Linked DNA regions of Anolis sagrei. The protein of the gene in region 2 interacts with the protein of the main gene of each other region in a pairwise test. Links are inferred from orthologs where the notes say so. Each region holds a gene or a part of one and is shown on either strand. Other genes may lie near its edges.

What was found. The genes of interacting proteins can lie anywhere in the genome.
Region 1: the proteins of FHL2 (region 2) and JUP interact in binary tests that used the Homo sapiens proteins (3 or more experiments, as listed by UniProt). The two-hybrid records come from large-scale screens. The link is inferred for Anolis sagrei from reciprocal best matches to the Homo sapiens genes FHL2 and JUP.
Region 3: the proteins of FHL2 (region 2) and SP2 interact in binary tests that used the Homo sapiens proteins (3 or more experiments, as listed by UniProt). The two-hybrid records come from large-scale screens. The link is inferred for Anolis sagrei from reciprocal best matches to the Homo sapiens genes FHL2 and SP2.

What each region holds. Positions count from the first base shown.
Region 1 is NC_090026.1:38,501,925-38,509,052, forward strand, and holds the start of JUP (junction plakoglobin), read right to left. Parts: upstream 3,154-7,128; 5' UTR 3,037-3,153; intron 1-3,036. UniProt on the Homo sapiens protein: Common junctional plaque protein. The membrane-associated plaques are architectural elements in an important strategic position to influence the arrangement and function of both the cytoskeleton and the cells within the tissue.
Region 2 is NC_090023.1:105,899,583-105,907,032, forward strand, and holds the start of FHL2 (four and a half LIM domains protein 2), read right to left. Parts: upstream 3,246-7,450; 5' UTR 3,141-3,245; intron 3,133-3,140; exon of another isoform or gene 2,959-3,132; intron 1-2,958. UniProt on the Homo sapiens protein: May function as a molecular transmitter linking various signaling pathways to transcriptional regulation. Negatively regulates the transcriptional repressor E4F1 and may function in cell growth.
Region 3 is NC_090026.1:34,176,645-34,184,562, forward strand, and holds the start of SP2 (transcription factor Sp2), read right to left. Parts: upstream 3,154-7,918; 5' UTR 3,061-3,153; intron 1-3,060. UniProt on the Homo sapiens protein: Binds to GC box promoters elements and selectively activates mRNA synthesis from genes that contain functional recognition sites.

The sequences.
Region 1 (7,128 bases), on a different chromosome or scaffold from region 2:
GCTTTCTATCTCACTGTTTTTACCCTTCTGCTCCCTTTTGGGCACCTTGTTCCCTATTCTCCGGTGGGATCTTTGTTGCCACTCCCTTCCCACTGTCTTAATAAACCCTTACCCCTCCCTACATCCTTCTTCAGACCCACCTTGAATGCAAGCCCTTCTGTTCATCATTGTAATTTACCCTGACAAGGGAAACCCCCAAACTGCAAAGACTTGAGACCTTTGATTAAAGGGCAAGGAGCTATTAGCTCTTTAACCCAACGAGGGATGTCAAAATTCTCTCCCAGAAGAAATGCCCCCTCACTTCCTCCAGACGTATTGTAAGGTTGTCTACTCTTTAGCTGTTGGAATTCAACCACACACTGCTCAAGTCTGCAGTCCTCAATGAGAAGCAACTAGATAACTTAGGCTAGGCTGTTGATGCATCTGTTTTTCTCTCGCTCGCTTTCTCTCTCCCCCATTCTAATTGATGAAATAGAATGGCAGTTCTTTAGGATGCATGTCCTCTCATTTTAAGGCCTCGGGTCACACTTCTTTTTCACCCTTTCGTTCAGAACCCTCTCTACTCTGCATGATTGAGAAAATGTAGTATTTAGAATTTTTTCCATTTTGTTTGAATCTTAGAAGTAATAGGGTTAGAGAGAAGCTTAGACCGAACCTTTTCTACACAAACAGTTGCGTGATAACTAAAAACAATAGGTTTTCAGATGTGAAAATATAGTTTGATGTAGCAATGGTCTAGAAACCAAAAGGATTTATATAGTGTAAGTCATTAAAGAATGGGAGCTGGCAATCCAGCAACTCAACAATAAAATAAAGCTAAGCTGGTTGTAGAAATATCCACAGAGGATCCTATAAGGCTGCAAGCAAAGAGAAAACTGATATTAACTTAGAATCTCTGACTCTCTTACCTGTCCTACTCAAACAGATGCCAGAGAGTCCTTAATTATAGATAATGTGTTAGAAATGCTAACGAACACTTAGCAGCTTGAAAATATAATAGATGTCTCAATATTATCACTGTATGCAACAAAAAATTACATTTTATGCTTATTTTAATAAATAAAAATAAAGAAGAATGGAAGAGAGAAAATTAGGCCCAATATTTTCTATCAAGAAATCACAGAGTAATAGAGTTGGAAGAGACCACATAGACCATCTAGCCCAACCCCCTGCCATGCAGGAAAAGCACAATCAGTATCCCTGATAGATGGTCATCTGGGCTCTGTTTAAAAATTTCCAAGAAAGTAGCTTCCACCATACCCTGAGGCAGAGAGTTCCACTGTTGAACTATGCAATGGACTTAAAAGAAAATTGGCTTAAGATGTTCCATCAATGGTACATTACACCCAAAAAATTAGGATCAATGTATAAAAATATGGACAAGAAATGTTGGAAATGTCACGAGGCAGAGGGCAGCTTTTTTCATATGTGGTGGTTGTGTAAGAAAGCTCAAAATTACTGGAAAAATATTAACCAAGAGACACAAAAAAAAATACTGGGAATACAATTCCCAAGTAAATCAGAATATTACTTATTAAATATATTATGGACTCAGAATTCTCTTCAGACTTAAATATTGATATTTTATTTACTTATATCTCAACGGCAGCAAGGATATCTTATGCAAGAATTTGGAAAATCGGCAAAACTCCGGAGGCAGAAGACTGGATAGTCAAACTACAGGAGATTAAGGACATAGACAAATCAACCTATTTTTTGAAGAAAAACATGGGAAAACCAATAAAGGATACAAATTGGTCACTATTTGAAAACCATCTAAAGGAAAGATCTTAACAACATATGAAGAGAAAACTTAAACTGAAAAATTTGTAAGCGAAGACACAGAATGGAAGTCAACAAAACCTTTTTATTTTGTAGTATTATTATTTCTCTATTTTTTTGATATTTTTTTTTATATATACGGATTCTAAAAATTTCCTACTATCCTATATCTAAATGTTCTCCCACTTTCCTTGTAAACCTTTCTCTTTTAGGCATATGTATAATAACTTAATAAAAAAATATTGAAAAAAAAAGATGGTAAAAACTTGGCTGTGGGACCAAGCGTTCGAAAAAGGACAATAAAGTAGCAATAGGAAAAATTACCAGGTGGATTAGATTTGACGCAGATGACCAAGACGGTTTAAAATGGTGAATTTTAATATTATGATAAATGTTTTTTAATGTTTATGTATGTGTATATGAATCCTTGTCTAGGCATTGAATGTTCACCTTATATATATATATATGCTGTGCTCCGCCCTGAGTCCCCTTTGGGGTGAGAAGGGCGAAATATAAATGTTTTAGATAAATAATATATTTTAAATAAACTTTTTGAAACTGTAAGAATTGAAAGTCTGCATCTTTGGTTCAGTAAATATTTTACAGCAGGCATGGGCAAACTTCGGCCCTCCAGGTGTTTTGGATTTCAACTCCCACAATTCATAACAGCCGGCGGGCAAACTTCGGCCCTCCAGGTGTTTTGGATTTCAACTCCCACAATTCCTAACAGCCTACCGGCTGTTAGGAATTGTGAGAGTTGAAATCCAAAACACCTGGAGGGCCGAAGTTTGCCCATGCCTGTTTCACAGTCACAACACTACACCTCCTGCTTGCTGTGAGTCGACTACTCAGTTTAGTATCCTGTCTTGTATTTAAAATACTATTTTGGACATTTCCCTAACATTAACCCACTCCTACTGAGGGTTCTGTTCCTTCCTTTCCTTCTCCCACCACGCCCAATTCGACCCCAGGAGCTCTTGTTCCTATTGTATAGGGTCTCCACATCCTATAGGCTGAGGCAGAGAAAAGAGAAGAGTTTGGGGTTATGACCCTGAATGCCTTGAGCAGCACTTTCCGGTCCCCAGGTGTTACTTGTTGTTGTCTCTGGGACAGTCCTGGCCACTTCCGGAAACAGGGAATGGGTTCCCCTCCTTCAGGGGCTGCCTTCTCCACAGGAAACCCCCCTCGGAAAGCCTCACGACCCCCTCCTTCGTGAGGGCTGCCCCCCTTCCAAGCCCCCCGCTTGGCACCCACCTGCCGGCCCCGTCGCCACCGCCCTGCTCGCCTCTGGCTCCGCTCCGACTGGCTCCGCGCGAACAATGGGGGCGAGCCGAGACCTTCCCTGACTGAGCCGAGCCCAGCCCCGGTCCCCATGGACACAAGCCACGCCCCTCGGAGCTCTGATTGGCTGCCTCGGCCGCGAGGGGAGGGGGCGCGCGAGACCGCCCCCACCCAACTTCGCCTCGCCCCGGCTGGGGTGTTTACAGCCCGGGTCTTCTGATTGGACGAGGGTGCAGGAGGAGGTGGAGCCTGGAAAGAACGGTTGGGAAAGTGGAATGCCCGGCAGGTGTGGGCGGAGCCAAGGCCGAAAAGGGGCGTGGTTTCGTCCCCGTCGGGCGAGGCGGGAGTGTTTTGAAGGAGGTTTGAGGTGAGAGGAGAAGAAGAAGCGCATGGTGAGGGGAAGGTTTGAGGCAAGAAGTCATTTCGATTTTTGAAATATTAAAACGATATTTTTTATTGAATAACATCATTACAACAGTATATATTGGTGTGTTTGTGTGATATTTATGTGTAGACACAAACACACATATTGCTTCTTGTAAAAACAAGCCAATAGGATTTTGGCCTATAGAATCATAGAATCAAAGAGTTGGAAGAGACCTCGTGGGCCATCCAGCCCAACCCCCTGCCAAGAAGCAGGAATATTGCATTCAAATCACCCCTGACAGATGGCCATCCAGCCTCTGTTTAAAAGCCCTCTGTTCTGCCTTGATTAGAGCACACCTGGAATACTGTGTCCAATTCTGGGCACCACAATTGAAGAGAGATATTGACAAGCTGGAATGTGTCCAGAGGAGGGCGACTAAAATGATCAAGGGTCTGGAGAACAAGCCCTATGAGGAGCAGCTTAAAGAGCTGGGCATGTTTAGCCTGCAGAAGAATCATAGAAACATAGAGTTGGAAAGAGACCTCATGGGCCATCCAGTCCAACCCCCTGCCAAGAAGCAGGAATATTGCATTCAAATCACCCCTGACAGATGGCTTTTTAACATCTACATGAAACCACTGGGAGAGGTCATCCGGAGTTTTGGAGTTGGGTGCCAGCTCTATGCAGATGACGCACAACTCTACTACTCTTTTCCACCTAACTCCAAGGAAGCCCCTCGGGTGCTGGACGAGTGCCTGGCTGCTGTGGCTGTCTGGATGAGGATGAACAAGCTGAAGATCAATCCCGACAAGACAGAGGTCCTCCTGGTCGAGTCAGGCATGTAGCCGGGGGGGGGGGGGGGGGGCTTGAGGGGCTTCAGCCCCCCCCCCCTGAAATTCTCATGGTGGTTCGCGAAAAGGCCTTACTGGTGCATTATTTAAACTGTTATGTTTATTCATATCATGATCTGATCACCGTGCTCAATATATCCCATATGCATGGGGGTATTGGGGTAACAATACAAAAGGTTTGCTAGGGTAGACCCTCTTTCACTCAGACTCAGCCCCCCCCAAAAAAACAAACTCAGCCCCCCCCCCCCCCCCGGATCAAAATCCTGGCTACGGGCCTGGGTTGATCGTAAACTGGATCGGGGTATAGGGTGGCAACCTGTGCTGGACAGGGTTACACTCCCCCTGAAGTCACAGGTCCGCAGTTTGGGTGTCCTCTTGGATTCATCACTTACGCTTGAAGCTCAGGAGTCGGCGGTGGCCGGGAGGGCTTTTGCACAACTGAGACTCATGCGCCAACTGCGACCTCATGAAGGCTGATCTGGCCAGGGTGGTCCATGCCTTGGTCACCTCCAGATTGAACTACTGCAATGCGCTCTATGTGGGGCTGCCCTTGAAAACGGCTCAGAAATTCCAACTGGTACAACGGGCGGCGGCCAGGTGGTTAACTGGTGCTCCTTACAGAAAGAGGTCAACCCTCTTGTTTAAGGAGCTCCATTGGCTGCCATTCATTTTCCAGTCCCAATTCAAGGTGCAGGTGCTTACCTACAAAGCCCTAAACAGTTTGGGACCCGCCTACCTGCGTGACCGCATCTCCATATATGAGCCCACACGATTTGTCAGATCATCTGGAGAGGCCCTGGTCTGCAAGCATGAAAATATGGTCCGTGGCCTCACCATTACTACTCCGTTGCCTCGAAACCACTCAGCAACAAGAGTGACTGGTCTTGCAGAACCATCTTATAGTGCTGAGGCAACGGGGATGTTGGGAGGGGAAAGGCTGACCATCCACAAAATATTACTACTACCACATCAGCTCTAGAGATTATTAAATATGGTTTTCTGTGGGTGAGCAGATGGTGACTACTGGATGGCATATGTTCTGTATCAGAAACCAGAGCTGATGTGGTCTATCCAATGCAGTTTTTTGAATCAGCACCCCAAATAAGCAAACTGAATCTAAAGTTGACCAAAAAACCATTTCGTAACCTTTTTGGTACTAATGTTGGAGGATAGTCTCTGGTCAAAGTGGTCCCTGGTCAAAATAAGGTTGAGAACCATTGCTTTAGGATATACCCCACTTTTTCAACAAAGTATGCTGGGTGGGGGTTCTGGGTGTTGTATTCCAGAAGGATACATTTGTCAAGGGCAGCCTTCTGGCATTAAAACAGCCCCCCAAATTCCCATGTGATCAAAATTCTCAGCCCAACTTCACAAACTTCCTGCTTCTAAATGAAATGTCCCCTTCACGCTCCCTTTTTAGCCACAAAAGTCTCATGGCGCTTGAAAACATTTTATGTGCCATAAGTTTTCATGCCTCCCACTTCATCAGATGAGTGAATTAATGGCTCAGTGGGTAGATTATTAAATATATGTTGAGGTGGGCAACCGAGCGGGTGGACAGGGGATGTAACCAGTGGGATAGGAAGGAATTAAAAAGCAGAAGTACATTAGCAAATAATAGGGATGAAAAATAGCCATTAACAAACAGCAGTTAGCATTACGGATTTTAAATATATTATGAGCAGTTATCATTATTACCTTAAAAGTTGCCATTAACAAACAGTATTTAAGTGGTAACACAGAAACCATTTCTTTGATGAGCAGATTAACACATGCAGGGAGATAAAAAGCCTGAGTCTCTAATCAAATGAGAGGTGATAGAGGTGAACCTCATGATGAATACTTGTTCTTTTGGAATCTCCCTTTGAGGGGTCTTTTTGTACTTTGAAGTTCTTTGAAGTTCTTTTGTTTAATGATAGCCACCTTGATAACAGTGGCAAATGTAATGGGACTCTGAGGTTTTCTCCCACTGAGTTGTGAATATTATTTTGAATTATATATAATTGTTTCTGATGTCTGCTTGTGTCCATTTATTCCAGTCTGTCCAATATAAAATGGAACAAGAAATACTGGCAATAAAATTGGAATATATCACACTGAAGGCTGTGGCTAGAATCCCTGGCATTTGCAAGTGACAATATTAGGTCCCTAGCAGAATAGTCAGAGTCATATAGATTGCGGCTTTGTCTTTGAAAGATGACCTCTGACCTGTTCCTCCAATTTATTGCAATAATTATTTCTCTTCACTCTTTTCTTCCTTCATGTATTGCTCTCAATGCTTTATTCCCCAGTTCTTTAAAAACCTTTTTGTTTCTTACAATGCCACACTTTCAAGATGAATCTTGCCCTCCATATCTCTTTCTTGCGTCTCCCTGTTTTTTAATTTATTTTGTTTATTGGTTTATTTCTTTTAAAATCTTATATTCTACCTTGCTTCTAAGAGGAACTTTTCTAACAGAGAAGGAAAGAGAGAACATTAAACTATCAAATTAACATAACAAACCCACAACAATTACCAGTCCCGTGCCCCTCAGATATTACCTTCCTACAATCTATGCCTAAAACCCTCCAGTTACATTGTTTTCCCAGTTTCCTCTTACTCTCCTATGACCCCAATCTACTTTTCCATCTCTCATTTGTTGTATGCCTTCAAGTCATTTCCAATTTATGACAACCCTAAAGCGGTCTTATCACAGGTTTCCATGGCAAGATTTATTCAGCTTTTCATGTATTCAGGGTTTCACTTTGCCCTCATCTGAAGCTGAGAGATCATGACTTTTCCAAATCATCCAGTGGGTTTCCTTGGCTGGTCTCTCTTATGAATGTCAAATACTTCTACCTTTGTTG
Region 2 (7,450 bases):
CTAACTGTGAGAGCTGTTCAGCAGTGGAACTCTCTACCCAAAGTGTGGTGGAGGCTCCTTCTTTGGAAGCTTTTAAACAGAGGCTGGATGGCCATCTGTCAGGGGTGCTTTGAACACAATTGTCCTGCTTCTTGGCAGGAAGTTGGACTGGATGGCCCATGAGATCTCTTTCAGTTCTATGATTCTATGAACATGAAATCGTACATGATCGTAAGATTTTCCAAAAATGCACCTGCCCGGTCCCTGCCATTCTGGGTGTGATAACAGAAGAGGCAGCCTATAAATAAATTCCAGTTATCATATTTGTATTATAAAGGGGAAACCACACTCTTCATTCATACTCAATTTCTAAAACTTATGAACCATGAAACTGGCTCAGCCAGGTTTCACTTAGCTAATCATCACTGTCAGGCAAAGCAGTACTCCTGGACTATGGAGGAGATTGATAGTACAGCAGGTCAATATAGAGGCAGACTTTTAAAAAGAAACATTCCGCTAATAATTATTTGCCCTGTACAAAATCAGAAGTTCTAATAAGGATGTAAGAAAAAAGCAGAAGGTCTGCAAAGGGTATAAGAAACTCCAAGCAATTTTGTGGACCTCCTAGCATCATGGGTATAAAAATTTAGTTTTGGGAGTCGAAATGCCTTCAAATGCCCTCTACAAGAGTGGGCGTTTTCACTAGGTTTTTTTTTGTTCCTAGAGTGTGTTTTGACAGATGGGGCAAGAAATATGATTTCTGCAAGGGGTTCAGGGAGGAAAATGTGGCTCCAAAGTTTCCTGGGAGCTAATATTTCCACATAGCCTTCTACAGTTGCCAACTCCCAGATTAAGATATAACAACAACAACTGCTTTGCAACTAGAATATTGGTTCTCTCTCTCTCTCTCTCTCTCTCTGTGTGTGTGTGTGTGTGAAAGAGAGAGAGGGAGAGAGAGAATAGGGCTGTCATTCCTGTCCAGATAGTTTTCCATCCGCATGTCCAATTAATGTAATGGCATTTGGGTCATGGATCAGACAAAGATCAAAAGAAAGTGACATTCATCAGGGACACATAATAATAATAATAATAATAATAATAATAATAATAATAATAATAATTTATATTCCACTCTATCTTCCCGGAGGGACTCAGGGTGGATTCCAAGCATAAAAGGCAAACATTCAATGCCCGAATACAACAATACATCCACACTAACAAAATTTAACCAACCCAGCATATAAACACAAATTATGACTTAACAACTAAAATTAAATGAAAAGCACAGCCTGTTATAGCAGACATAAGACAAAACATCAAACATTGAATGGAAACAATAATTTCCGAGTTCCTTGGGGCAAATCTGTTAACATCAATTGTCCCAAAGATTTACTTCTAAACTATTTAACTTATTGTATATACTCATTTATAACCGTAACCCAAAACCTTCCCTCGATTTATACATGAAATAGACTTACATATGAGTACATATGATACTTCTATTTTGAACCACTATACTGGACATAGGTTTGGAAATGGTTAGGTTGCATGTTGGCTCCTCAAACTAAAATAACATATTTTCCCATTCACTGATCTTCAGCCTTTGGGGTGTAATAGAAACTAAACAGTAAACGAAAACAATTGCCCATATTAATTTACACAATATACAAAAATTCATATACAATCCCTCTAACTCCCTTGTGTATGCATGCTTTGCAAACAAAACACAGCACTCCCTTGAGATCACTTTAAAAGGCAATTTGGTGCGATGAACGCTTTATAATGGGTGTTTGGCAGCTGTAATTGCTACTTCGCATGATGGTTATGTAGTCTCACACAGATTACTGAGCCCACTGTCTCCCTTTAGCATAGTCTTCACTACTTCAAAATATATAGCCAGGATCATCTAAGGCCTCAGAAAAACAACAAGAAAAGAATACAAAAGGCTATATAGAGTTTTGCTACCTTTTAATGACCCCGTTTCCAAATACACAGCTGCCAAAGGAACATATAAATATCTGAAATCATTTCCCCAAAACAATATAATTCCATCTCCACATATCGCAAAAGACTTCTCCTTTGTAATTGTTTACTTTGAGAGAAGAAGAAAAAAACCCATGACAAATGTGATAAACTCCACAAGTTGTCAAGCACACACAGGAGGATTGCTGAAATTCCACAAAGTTAAAGATTCCCACATACTTTTCTAGAAAAATATAGAGTTTATTTAAACAGGGAACATTTCTTACTTGCAGGTGTTCCACTTTAGTATGCAAAATTGTAGCCTCAAAGACGATAAGATAATTCTCAGTTTTTAAAACAAGCAATTGGGAGGGGTGTCTTTTGAAAATTAAAAATATTTTTTCCAGATCTACATACAGAAGTCAGATCATACAGTTATATTAAGGAACCCCCAAATGACAGGCAGTCTCTCTCTCTTTGTGATAAATGAAAAAGACAATGCATTTCAAGACAAATCATGTTAAATAATTGGAATAGCAAATCTACCTGCTGTCCCATTGAACTTTTTGTGTGGTAGACTGGAATAAGATTGTACTATTGTAGTGTAGTGGTTTGAGCATTAAATCATTGAACTGGAAGAGACCCAAAGGCCATACAGTCCAACCTCATGCCTTGCAGGAAAACACAATCAGATCACCCTTGATGGCCATCTAGTCTCTACTTAAAGACCACCAAAGAAGGAGACTCTAGAAACCACTTTGGTTCTTTGCTCAGCCTTGGAAACCCACTGGGCAGCCTTGGCTGAGTCACACAGTCCAAGAAAAGCTCCTGATAGATTTGCCTTAGGCTTTCCATAAGTCACAAATGTCTTCAAGGCACACAATAGCAATGTCACCCTATATTCTCTTCCCTTATCCAGTGAAAAGATAGTAAGACACTGAACTCTCTTGACATTTTAACAACATATAAGCATGTAAAGATAACCTCTGATGAAAGGGAACACCGGCTCTTGATTACCTGGTGTGAGGTGTGGGTTCTCTTTAAACTCTGTGGTGTATGCTGATGTTCCTTGCAAATAACAGAAGAAAGGAAATCCTCAACATTCCTTTAGGACTCTTCAGGTTCTCCCCAAAACAGCACTGCAGGGTGACAAAAGGAATGGCTCCTGAACATGAAAGCACTATCCTTTTTGCGCTTACCTTGCTGGATGGCGTCTGTGTGTTCCAGTCAGGGAGTGAGGCGAGACAAAGGCCGGCACGGAGGCTTACTGCTTTATTGGATTACCCAAACTATGTATTTAGCAATTAGACTGTCAAGAGTTCCCTTGCCAGATGAGCTATAAATACAGTTATCTCCAAAGAAGCAGCCATCCTGAGCGATAAGAACCAGAGCATCTCCGCAGGAGACGGCCTTTTAAGGAATCATTTGTTAATGGGGCCATGCATTTGTGATGGGAGCAAGAACAACTTTGCTCCCTTTATTCGTGAGGCCATTCCGTATCTTCCACAGGGCTAAGCATGTTTCTCTCTAGAACATTTTTACAACCAGTGAGTCCTATACAAAGCTTAGACTGATTTTTTTCAGGACTGCAACTCCAGAATGCCCAGTAGCCATGCTAACTGGGGTATTCTGCATACTACTACCCACAGAAATAATTATTATAAATGTTGACCACCAATTGGTTTCTGTTTTTCCTGCCTTCCACCATCCTGCATTCAGAAAATGATCTACACTTCAATTCCAACAATGATATACACTCCTGATTTGACTGCGACAGTTTTGATTAATTCTCTGTCAGCCCACTTTCGCAGTTGCTTTGAAAATGTTCCAGTTTCTGACTTCTCCTCCCACTTTTCCCTTTTGTCCTTCTTCAAATGATGCAAACTAAGGGGCCTTCTACACATGCAGTAAAACCTGGAAGTAACTGGGATAAAAGGGAGTGGGATGTCTAAAAGATGTTTGTAGAAAGTGCAGAGAGAATCGGATTAACAGCTGAAAAGCACGTGTTTAAAAAGTGAGCTTAAAACCCGATTCTGCCCAAAAAATGCAAATCTATGTGTAACAGTATATCTCTGCAATCATGGAAAACACATGACTTCCTTCCCATCCCCTGTGTGGACTGCTCCAGCACATGTGTTTTAAAAGCCCAAAACTGTCAAAAATTGAGTCATGGACACATGGGTAGCTAACAGGAAGCACAATCAGAAAGCAATTAGAACTCTCTGCAACCATGCCTTTCTTTCTTATAATATTAAACAAAGCTTGAATTAACAGTTGGGTGAAAAGAGAGATTAGAAATCTGCTTGTGTGTAGTAGATCTCTGCATGTGTGCATATGAGATCCAGCACATTTCTGAGAGAATTTCTTTTTTCAAAAACTTCTACTGGATGTTCCTCTTCCCTCCCCCATCTTGATTTGCTTCAAAGGAAGGCATAAGGATGGTGAGGGACCATATCCTGGGACTGACAGGTCTGTGTGTGAACTTGCTCTCAGATCCAGGATTTTTTCCCCAGTTTTTAAACTTGCATTTTGAAGCTATCTGGAAGTGCCTTAAATTCAAAATGCAAAATTTGCTTGCAGTTAAGAGGCCAGAGTCCTGCCCTTCCCACTAGACTCAGGCAAAGTCAAATTGCTGTTGCTTCTCCCAGCTTGCCTGTTATTCACCATTATATTAATGGGAGTTGCTCTATTGTAGCTTTGCTCAGATGGCATTTCTTCGAGTCATGATAAGTCTTCCTGTGAATAATAGTGTGCTTATGAGTAAGGCAAAAAAACTGTGTTTAGTAAACCACATATACAAAGGGAAGATACCGAGGAGAAAGGAGTGTTTGGGTACCTTCCAGGTGATGGTCTGAGCTCTATCAGTCAAAAGGCATATTCCTGGTATATTGATAAATGCCAAATAAAGGAATGCTTGAATAGGGTCTTCATAGGAATGTTTAAAGAGGTCAAGGCCTCCATACGCACTCAGTACTGCTATTTAATCTTTTATTCCTTATTGGCTTTGTGTATGTGTGTATATCAAGGGGAAAAAATTGAAGAAGCACAAGAGGATTAGAAATGAAAGATCACCCAAGCAACTGTGGCTTTGGGTTGGAAAGACCATAGAAAGTAGAAAGTTAAAAAATGGTGTGAATATTTAGCAGATTATATGCTTCAGGATTACATCTATGAAAGAAGAACCAAATATACAATAAGCAGATTTAAGAAGACCTGGGTTCAGAAATGGGAAAAAGTGATAGAAAAAGTCAAATGAAACAAAAGATATAAAGAGCTGGACCATTCTCTTTTCACGATTGTTCAATTAAATTAATATCTGCATAATGATAAGTACTGTTCCCTGAGGGTGGGGGAGGGGGGAGGAGGTGAGGGGTCTAAAATTGTTAGACAAAAGGGGAGGTAAAGATGAGATTGATAAGATGAAATCTGACATTGTCTTCTCTCACCACTACATCTCTGTGCTCAAGATAAAGAATGTAGCCTGGTCAGTGAAGGAACATGATGGGAACAATCCTCTTCTTGAAGCTGCTACCTAAGAGCCCTTCCACATACCCTATATCCCAGAACATGCACTCAGATAAGCCAGTTCAACTATGGACTCAGATAAGCCAGTTCAAAGCAGATGTTGTGGAATTTTCTGCCTTGATATTCTAGGATATAGGGCTGTGTGGAAGGGTTGGGTCCTATAACTTGTCCCAACCTTTTCTTCACAATGATAGGTTCCAGAGTTTGGAAAATGTATTTTTGCAGGTTCTGGAAGTCTGGGAATTGAAGAAAGGTGGCATATCTGAAGTCTTGGGATGTGTTTTGTTGTATGGTACACCCACTCAGAGAGCTATCACTCTGCATTGTTATAGAGCTATAATTCCCTTCAACAACCATTACAACATTATATGAAATCCTAGAATTTGCTAAATCCCAAGATTTTGCATTTAGGAAAGGGCATTTAGAATTCTCAGACAGAGACTTCTTGAACCTCACAAAACTACAAAGCTCAGAATGGGAAAGAAAGTTGTCATGGTAGTTAAAGCAGACAATATAACAATATAGTGTGAGATCTCCGTTTATTTTTAAGAGAGTTGTGCACTAACCCATGCTTGCCTTAGTAAGTAGTGGCTCATTCTGCTGTGGACAGAGAACCTCTTTTATGCTCCTGTTGGAAACTGTTTGGAGGCTCTCTGGGTTCTGTGGCCCAGAATGTGAGTTCCAGCCATAACTGAGCTACTGAGCACTTGGCAAAATCACCTCTTTTAAGAGGGAATTGTACAAACTCATTCCACATATACTTACACAATTTTAATGGTAAGCCAACATATTGGTTTCTTTTTTAATTGTCTCTACATGTATCTGGAAGTTCCATCTGTCTCCATGTGTGATGTTACCTGATGTGCTTGAGATAATGTCCTTAGTTTGCTAAAGACAATCCGATCAGATTGGGAGCATGCTGACTGTCAGAGGGAGCCCTGATCTCCTTAACCTTTAAGACAAAAGCTCTATTCGGATGTGCTATTATTTGGCCTTAATTAGCATGCATAGAGCAAGAATGAGTAAGACTTTGGTTGCTTTTCTCATCATCCTCCAAATGTCAGAAGTGTTCAATTTTTTTTGAGCGACAATTCCCAAATACGCCAGCCAGCATATTCAGTGGTTCAGCTTGTAATAAGCTTACTTTTTCCAATAATAAAATATGACAAAGCTTCCCTATGAGGTTGCTCAAACAGATAACAAACTCTGAGTTCCTATCAACTTTGGACTTCCATCTTATGGACTTACATATTTGTAGAGAAGAGTGGAGGTCTGTCCCTATAGCGATTGCAATAAAGCCTTTCAATTGCAAATCACTCCATGAAACTTTTACTCCTTCCCATCCCATTGTTTTCTTGAAGTGTTCTTGACCCCTTGTAGCTTGCCTTCACATTCATCACACTGGGGAAGGCTTGTCAAATTCTCTCTGTTTCCCCCCTCTTCTCTATCAGCCGAAAAATCTCTCTTTTTCTCTTTCTCTTTTTTCTCTGCTGCTTCTGCCACCACCTCCCCAGCCAAACATTGCTCTCCATTGCTCTCTGTCTGCAATAGCTGTCTCTCATTTTGCAGCAATGAAACACGACAGGGGAGTATAGTTTCTATTCCATGTGTTTTAGCCTTAAAAAGTGGATCAAATCACAACAGCAGCTCAAAAGACTTTTACTCAGCCATGGTGGGAGCTCCTTTCTTCAGGCTCATTTCAATGATGGATGGAACACATGGCAGCTGAAAGTAGTTCAACATCATGTGATGGGCTCCATGCCTCTCCATCTCTGAAATGTGCCTGAAGTGTGTTAAGGTTTCTGTAAAGCCAGCAAGTAAGTTTTGTGGGGGATTACTACCTTCCCTGCACCAAGTGTGTTAAGAGAAAAAGGATTCATTCTGGTGGTTATTATATGCAGGTTACATGAATGTTCTCATTAAAGTCAGTAAGTCTGGGCCACTCCTGGTTGGGTATAACTAGGTGCCTATTGGGATACATGAT
Region 3 (7,918 bases), on a different chromosome or scaffold from region 2:
ATCCTCGGGGGATGTTCTCCTTTCACCCCCGCTGTTATCTCAGGCCTGCCTTGTAGGAACAAGGGAGAGGGTTTTCTCCTCAGTGGCTCCCCGACTATGGAATACATTGCCTGGTGAGATTAGGCAAGCTCCCACTTTAGAAAGTTTTAAGAAGAATCTCAAAACCTGGCTTTTCCGTTGCGCTTTTGGAGATTAACCATGCAATCTTATATTGCTATTATCCCTCAACATTTGTACACCTCCTCTCCCGCACGAAGTCCCTTCTCGACCCCATTCCTGAAGAGGTTTTCCCTCACAAACAATCTACTCCATCTCTATCTCACCCCGTGTTTTTAGCTTTAGTATTTCACTCTGTACATGAAGCCCGCTCACTGTTCCTGTGTTATGAATGATTTTATTGTAATTTTATATTGTTTGCTGTATTCTTATGTTTTATGTAATTTATTATGTTGTTGATTTTGTTGTTTTTTATTTCATTTATTGTACTGCATTGTTGGGCTTGGCCTCATGTAAGCCGCCCCGAGTCCCCATCGGGGAGATGGTGGCAGGGTATAAATAATAATAATAATAATAATTATTATTATTATTTGGAACACAACAAGATGAGTCCACAGCAGATAATCTGCTGGCTGTTGAATTGGATCACAGGTCGGACACTTCCCAAGTGAATAGGACTGTGTGATGTATCGGCAAATAATGCGTGCAGATCCCAGTAAGGTGGCCTTCTGCAGCTGGTAATTTTGTCAGTGTCGATTGTGTTTAAGTGCAGGCCAAGGTCTTTAGGCACTGCACCCAGTGTGCTGATCACCACTGGAACCACCTTTACTGGCTCTTTAAATCCTCATATCGTGTCAGCTTTTCCAGTTTATTATTATTATTTTCCAGTGTTTTTATGAGTGATGGTCACTCATTGGCCTGATAGGTGTATTGTGTCCAAATTTAGTGTCAATTCGTCCAGTAGTTTTTTAGTTATGTTAATCCCACAAATGAACATTACATTTTTATTTATATAGACTAGCCGTCCCCTGCCACGTGTTGCTGTGGCCCAGTCTGGTGATCTGGAAAATAAAGTAATGAGGAAGTGTTCATTTCTAATATATGTAACGTCTTTATGCTTGTGGGTAAAAAGTATTTTTTTGCTGTTTCTTTGTCAGTGTTGATAGGGAAATTGTCTGGTTTGCCTACTCTGGAACATGCAACATATAATTGTCCTTCTTTAGAGGTCCCTTTCAGATCTATGATACTGTATCTCCCTGTGTGTGAATCAAATATATCTATCTATATCTATGGCTCTTTGTCAGGAGGACTTTGATTATATTTTCTTCCCCTGGTGAAGGGAGTTGGACTGGATGGCCTTAAGTATTTTCTGTTGGTCATGGGGGTTCTGTGTGGAAAGTTCGCCCCAATTCTGTTGTTGTTGGGATTCAGACTGCTCTTTTATTGTAGGTGAACTATAAATCCCAGTAACTAAAACTCCCAAATGTCAATGTCTATGTCCCCCAAACTCCATCTGTGTTCATATTTGAGCATATGGAATATTCATGCCAAATTTGGTCCAGATCCATCATTATTTGAGCCCACATTTGTGCTCTCTGGATGTAGGTGAACTATAACTCCCAAACCCAAGGCCAATGCCCATTAAACCCTTCCAGTTTTTTCTGTCATGGGAGCCCTGTGTGTTAAGTGTGGCCAAATTCCATCATTGGTGGAGTTCGGAATGCTGTTTGATTGTAGTTTAACTATAAATCCCAGCAACTACAACTCCCAAATGACAAAATCAATTTTTTGAGTGAAGGACATACACTGGATTGTTAGGTGTCTTGTGTCCAAATTTGGTGTCAATTCGTCCAGTGGCTTTTGAGTTGTTAATCCCACAAACCAACATTACATTTTTATTTATATAGATTTGTTGGTGTTTATTATATGTTATGTTTTTAATTGTATTTATGACATTGTAAGCATTGAATTTTGCCCTGTTAACCGCCTTGAATCACCTACGGGCTGAGAAAGGTGGCATAGTTTTAAATTTTATGTTGTCTTATTGATAATGTTATATGTTTATCGTGTATGTTTTATTTTAATTGCTTGTATTGTTGTGATTATTGCTTGCATTGTTGTGTTTGGGCTCGGCCTCATGTAAGCCGCACCGAGTCCCTTGGGGAAAGGGTAGGGTAAAGGTTGTCCCCTGACATTAAGTCCAGTCATGTCTGACTCTGGGGTGTGGTGCTAATCTCCATTTCTAAGCCGAAGATCCAGCGTTGTCCATAGACACCTCCAAGGCCATGTGGCTAGCATGACCGTATGGAGCGCCGTTACCTTCCCGCCAGAGCGGTACCTATTGATCTACTCACATTTGCATGTTTTTGAACTGCTAGGTTGGCAGAAGCTAGGGCTGACAGCTGAACCTCATGCCGCTCCCTGGAATCGAACCTGCGACCTTTTGGTCAACAAGCTCAGCAGCTCAGTGCTTTAACCCACTGCGCCACCGGGCTGTGGGGAGATGGTAGCGGGGTACAAATAAAGTGTTGTTGTTATTATTATTATTATTATTATACAAATACAGTAAATAAATAAATAATGAAGGTGGCCAATTGAAACATTCATACCTACCTCCAACAGACAAGAGTTCTTTCTCCCACCCTGGTCATTCCATAGATATATAAACCCCATTTTCCTAGTTTCCAGCAGACCTCACAACCTCTGAGGATGCCTGCCATAGATGCAGGTGAAGCGTCAGGAGAGAATGCTTCTGGAACCTGGCCCTACAGGATATCAGCCTTGAGCGGGATCCCTTCGCTGCCCTTTGAACCCTAGGCACGCTGGTTGCCCGAAGCCCGCCTGATTCTGACGGGTCCCCGAGGAGGCGGGCTCTCCGCTTGGCCCCGCCCCCTTCCGGTCCCAGTTGCTTCAGCCCCCTTCGCGCGCGCCGGGCCCCCTCCCTCGGAGCCCCCCTCCCTTTCCACGGAGCCCTCCTTTTTCCCCTTCGCGACTCCACTCCCACTTCTCGGGACCGCTTTCCCCTCCTCAGGGCCTGAAGCCCGCCCCGCTAGGCTCACTTACCGGCGGGGAAGAGGAGGCGGCAGCAGCTCGGACCCCCCTCACGGCGCCATCTTCCTCCTCCTCAGCAGCCCGGGCACCGCCCTGCAAGGCCCGCCTATTCCTCTGACGGGTGGCCAATCCCTGCTCTGCATTTTTAGAGAGTAACCAATCAGCTTCCATCATCTTGACTCACGTTGCCGCCTTCGGCACGATTGACATCCCTTCCCGCCAATCGCCGCCTTCTTTTTCGAGTGTCCCGGTTGAACCAATAGAAATGAAGAGTTTTGACAATGACGGACGCCAGGTCGAGGCCCAATCGGTTTGCGCGGAACTGGAGATTGATTTGAACTCTCGCCAATGGGCGTTGAGAACGACGTCACGCCTCCCGCGGATTGATAGGAAAGGATTGCGAGGGAGAAGAGAGAAGAAACAAACAAACATCCCGACGCGCAGGGCTTAATGAAGGGGCGGGATTTATTTTCAGAGGCCTATGATTGGTCGGAGGCAGGAGAAGTCTTTGACAAGCAGCCAATAGAAAAATTAGGTTGACTTCTCTCCGCCCCCAAGAACCACCTGGACTCACCTGGGTCTGGGAATCCTTCAGCATTTTAGGAAGTCGTCCACACTTGAATGAATGCAGCTTGACACCGCTTTAGTTGCCAATGCTCAATACCATGGGACTCCAGGAGTTGTAGTTTTACTGGGTTTTTCATCTTCACTGCCAAAGAGTGATGGTTCTTCACCAAACTACAATTCCCAGGATCCCATAGCATTGAAACTGGTATCAAACTGCATTCATTCTATAGTGTAGATCATGGCATTCATTGACCTTGTAAAGGCATTCAACACAGTGAATCGCGGTGCTCTCTGGACCATCCTCCAAAAAAATCAGGTGCCCTAACAAATTAATTTTGTTATTTATTTTGACCAGATTGCCAGTATCTGCTGGATAATGGAGAAAGGCAGGGAGTTTCAGAAAAACATCTATTTCTGCTTCATTGACTCTTCTAAAGCCTTTGACTGTGTGGATCATAATAAATTGTGGCAAGTTCTGGGTGGGATGGGCATCCCAAGCCACCTTGTCTCTCTCCTGAGGAATCTGTACAAGGACCAAGTAGCAACAGTAAGAACTGACCACGGAACAACAGACTGGTTCAAGATTGGGAAAGGCGTACGGCAAGGCTGCATCCTCTCACCCAACCTTTTTAATTTGTATGCAGAACACATCATGCGATGTGCGGGGCTTGATGAATGCAAAGCTGGGGTGAAAATTGCTGGAAGAAACATTAACAACCTCAGATATGCAGATGACACCACTCTGATGGCCGAAAGCGAGGAGGAGCTGAGGAGCCTTCTAATCAAGGTGAAAGAAGAAAGCACAAATGCTGGGTTGCAGCTAAACCTCAAAAAAACCAAGACTATGGCAACAAGAATGACTGACAACTGGAAAATAGAGGGAGAAAATGTGGAGGCCATGACAGACTTTGTATTTCTACGCGCAAAGATTACTGCAGATGCAGACTGTGGCCAGGAAATCAGAAGACGCTTACTTCTTGGGAGGAGAGCAATGTCCAGTCTCGATAAAACAGTAAAGAGTAGAGACATCATACTGGCAACGAAGATCCGCATAGTCAAAGCCATGGTATTCCCTGAGAGAGATGCTTTTGAGCTGTGGTGTTGGAGGAAAAGTACTGAGAGTGCCTTGGACTGCGAGAAGATCCAACCCATCCATCCTCCAGGAAATAAAGCCCGACTGCTCATTGGAGGGAAGGATACTAGAGACAAAGCTGAAGTACTTTGGCCACATCATGAGGAGACAGCAAAGCCTAGAGAAAACAATTATGCTGGGGAAAGTGGAAGGCAAAAGGAAGAGAGGCCGACCAAGGGCAAGATGGATGGATGGCATCCTTGAAGTGACTGGACTGACCTTGAAGGAGCTGGGGGTGGTGACGGCCGACAGGCAGCTCTGGCGTGGGCTGGTCCATGAGGTCATGAAGAGTCGGAAACGACTGAACGAATGAACAACCAACAACAACAAATTTGTGAACATCCTGCGGCTCCTCCATGATGACATGATGGCAACATTCTTGGTCAGCAATGGCTCCCAAAGTGACCCATTTAAGGTGGAATCAGGTGTTAAACAGGGATGTGTTATTGCCCCAACTTTATTCTCCATCTTCATCGCTATGATACTTCACCTTGTTGATGGGAAGCTTCCTACCGGAGTGGAAATCATCTATTGAACAGATGGCAAGCTATGTAACCTCAGCAGACTGAAAGCCAAAACCAAAGTTACAACTGTTATAGAACTCGAATATGCTGATGACAATGTCGTCTGTGCACATTCAGAAGAAGACCTACAAACCACTCTAAACACCTTTGCAGAAGCATACGAGAAGCTCGGCCTGTTATTGAACATCGAGAAAACCAAAGTGCTGTTCCAGCAGTCACCAGCCAATCTCTCTGCAATGCCAGAAATACAGCTTAATGGTGTAACATTAGAAAATGTTGACCATTTTCTCTACCTTGGCAGCCACCTCTCCACAAAAGTCAACATTGACACTGAAATACAACACCGCCTGAGCTCTGTGAGTGCAGCTTTTTTCCGAATGAAGCAGAGAGTGTTTAAAGACTGAGACATCCGTAGGGATACCAAGGTGCTTGTTTATAAAGCGATTGTCCTCCCAACCCTGCTATATGCTTGTGAGACATGGACAGTCTACAGATGTCACATGCAACTTCTGGAACAATTCCATCAGCACTGCCTCCGAAAAATCCTGCAAATCTATTGGGAAGACAAGCGGACAAATGTCAGTGTGCTGGAAGAAGCAAAGACCACCAGCACTGAAGTGATGGTCCTCCGCCTTCAACTCCGCTGGACTGGCCACGTTGTCTGGATGCCCAACCACCGTCTCCCAAAGCAGTTGCTCTACTCTGAACTCAAGACCAGAAAACAGAACGCTGGTGGGCAGGAAAAAAGATTTAAAGATGGGCTCAAAGCCAACCTTAAAAACTGGTATAGAAAAAAATGCCAAGAGGAAGGTACGTCAAGCCAACCCTGACCGGGACCGCCTTCTACCTGGAAACCAGTGCCCTCATTGGAAGAGAACATGCAGATTAGGAATAGGGCTCCACAGTTATCTACCAGTACACCGATCTTGGAAGACAGTCCTACTCGGACAACGAGGGATCGCCTAAGTAAATAAGTAAGTATAGTGTAGATCAGGCATGGGCAAATTTTGGCCCTCCAGGTGTTTTGGACTTCAACGCCCACAATTCCTAACAGCATATCAGCTGTTAGCAAAAGTCAAAACTACGAATGTGGAGGAATTACAACTAAACTAGATACCATCCTCTTGTGCTGTTTCAGAGAAAATGCCTTGCAACTCTTAGGTAAAGGTAAAGGTTTTCCCCTGACATTAAGTCCAGTCGTGTCTGACTCAGGTGTGGTGCTCATCTCCATTTCTAAGCCGAAGAGCCAGCGTTGTCTGTAGACATCTCCAAGGTCATGTGGCCGGCATGACTGCATGGAGCGCTTACAACTCTAGAGGGCACCAAATACTTTTGAGAATACAAAAGACATACTGTGAGCTCAGAGGTCCTGTTCTTCTTCTGTTGTTGTTGTTGTTGTTGTTATTATTAGATGTAACATTTGTTACCAGAATTATTACTAAGGTATGCACATAGTACTAAACTGAGCACTAGCACTAGAACCCAGAAAGTAGAAGGACTAGTGACACCTATCAGTGGGCCATCAGCTGCCATGATTCAATGAATTTTGGACTGGAATATCAGTGGCCCTTCCACACATCTAAATAAAATCCTACATTATCTTCTTTGAACTGGAATATATGGCAGTGTGGACTCAGATAACCCAGTTCAAAGCAAATATTGCGGGGTTTTCTGCCATTATATTATGGATTATGTGACTGTGTGGAAGGGCCCATAGTAGTCACATTAGGAAAAACATTGCTTCACATTAGATATTTTGACAAGCACAGGCATAGGAGCTCAACCTGTGGAATGGATGCTGCAAAACTAGTCTTAGGTCCCTTCTACCATATAAAATCCAGATTATCTGCTTTGAACTGGATTATATGGAAGTGTAGACTCAGATAGTCTGGGATCAGATCCCAGGACAAAGGGCAGCGTAGGTCCAGTTTAAGGCTGAATTTAACCTGCTCTATGCCCTCCTTCTACAATGCCATATAATACTTTGACAAACATGGGCATGGGAGCTCAACCTGTGGAATGGATGTTGCCAAACTAGTCTATGGCCCCTTCTACACTGCCATATAATCCAGTTCAATACAGATAATCTGGATTTTATATATAGCAGTGTAGAAGGGGCCTAAATCCCAGAATCAGATCCCAGATTATCTACTTTAAACTGGATTATATGAGTTTACATTGCCAAATAATCTGGGAAAAAGCAGATAATCTGGGGTCAGATGTTTGCATAGAGGGCAGTGTAGATCCAGCCTGAGTCTTCAACCTCTAAGGTCTGGGTTAGAGCCTATAGAAACTGGTCAGTGATCATCTTTATGAATTTGTGGGCCAACAAATTTTCAATCCATACGAACTTTTCATAACAGAATATTTTCTTCTGGTTTCTTTCTGCAGCAATATTGTTATATCATTATCATCATGAGTGATTGCTTGTGGCCGAATATGATTGTCTTCCAGAGATAGAGTCTTGGCAGTGGGACCTATCCAGAATCCATGTGGATTATCACATTGAGGACATAGATTTCCAGATGGAAGGTGGTTTGCTTGATGCACCTTCCTCTTGAAACATTCCTTCCTTTTGTCCTCTATTCATGCCTCTTCAAAGTCCATAGCACTAGGGTAACAGCTGATCTTCAATTTGAACCTTCAA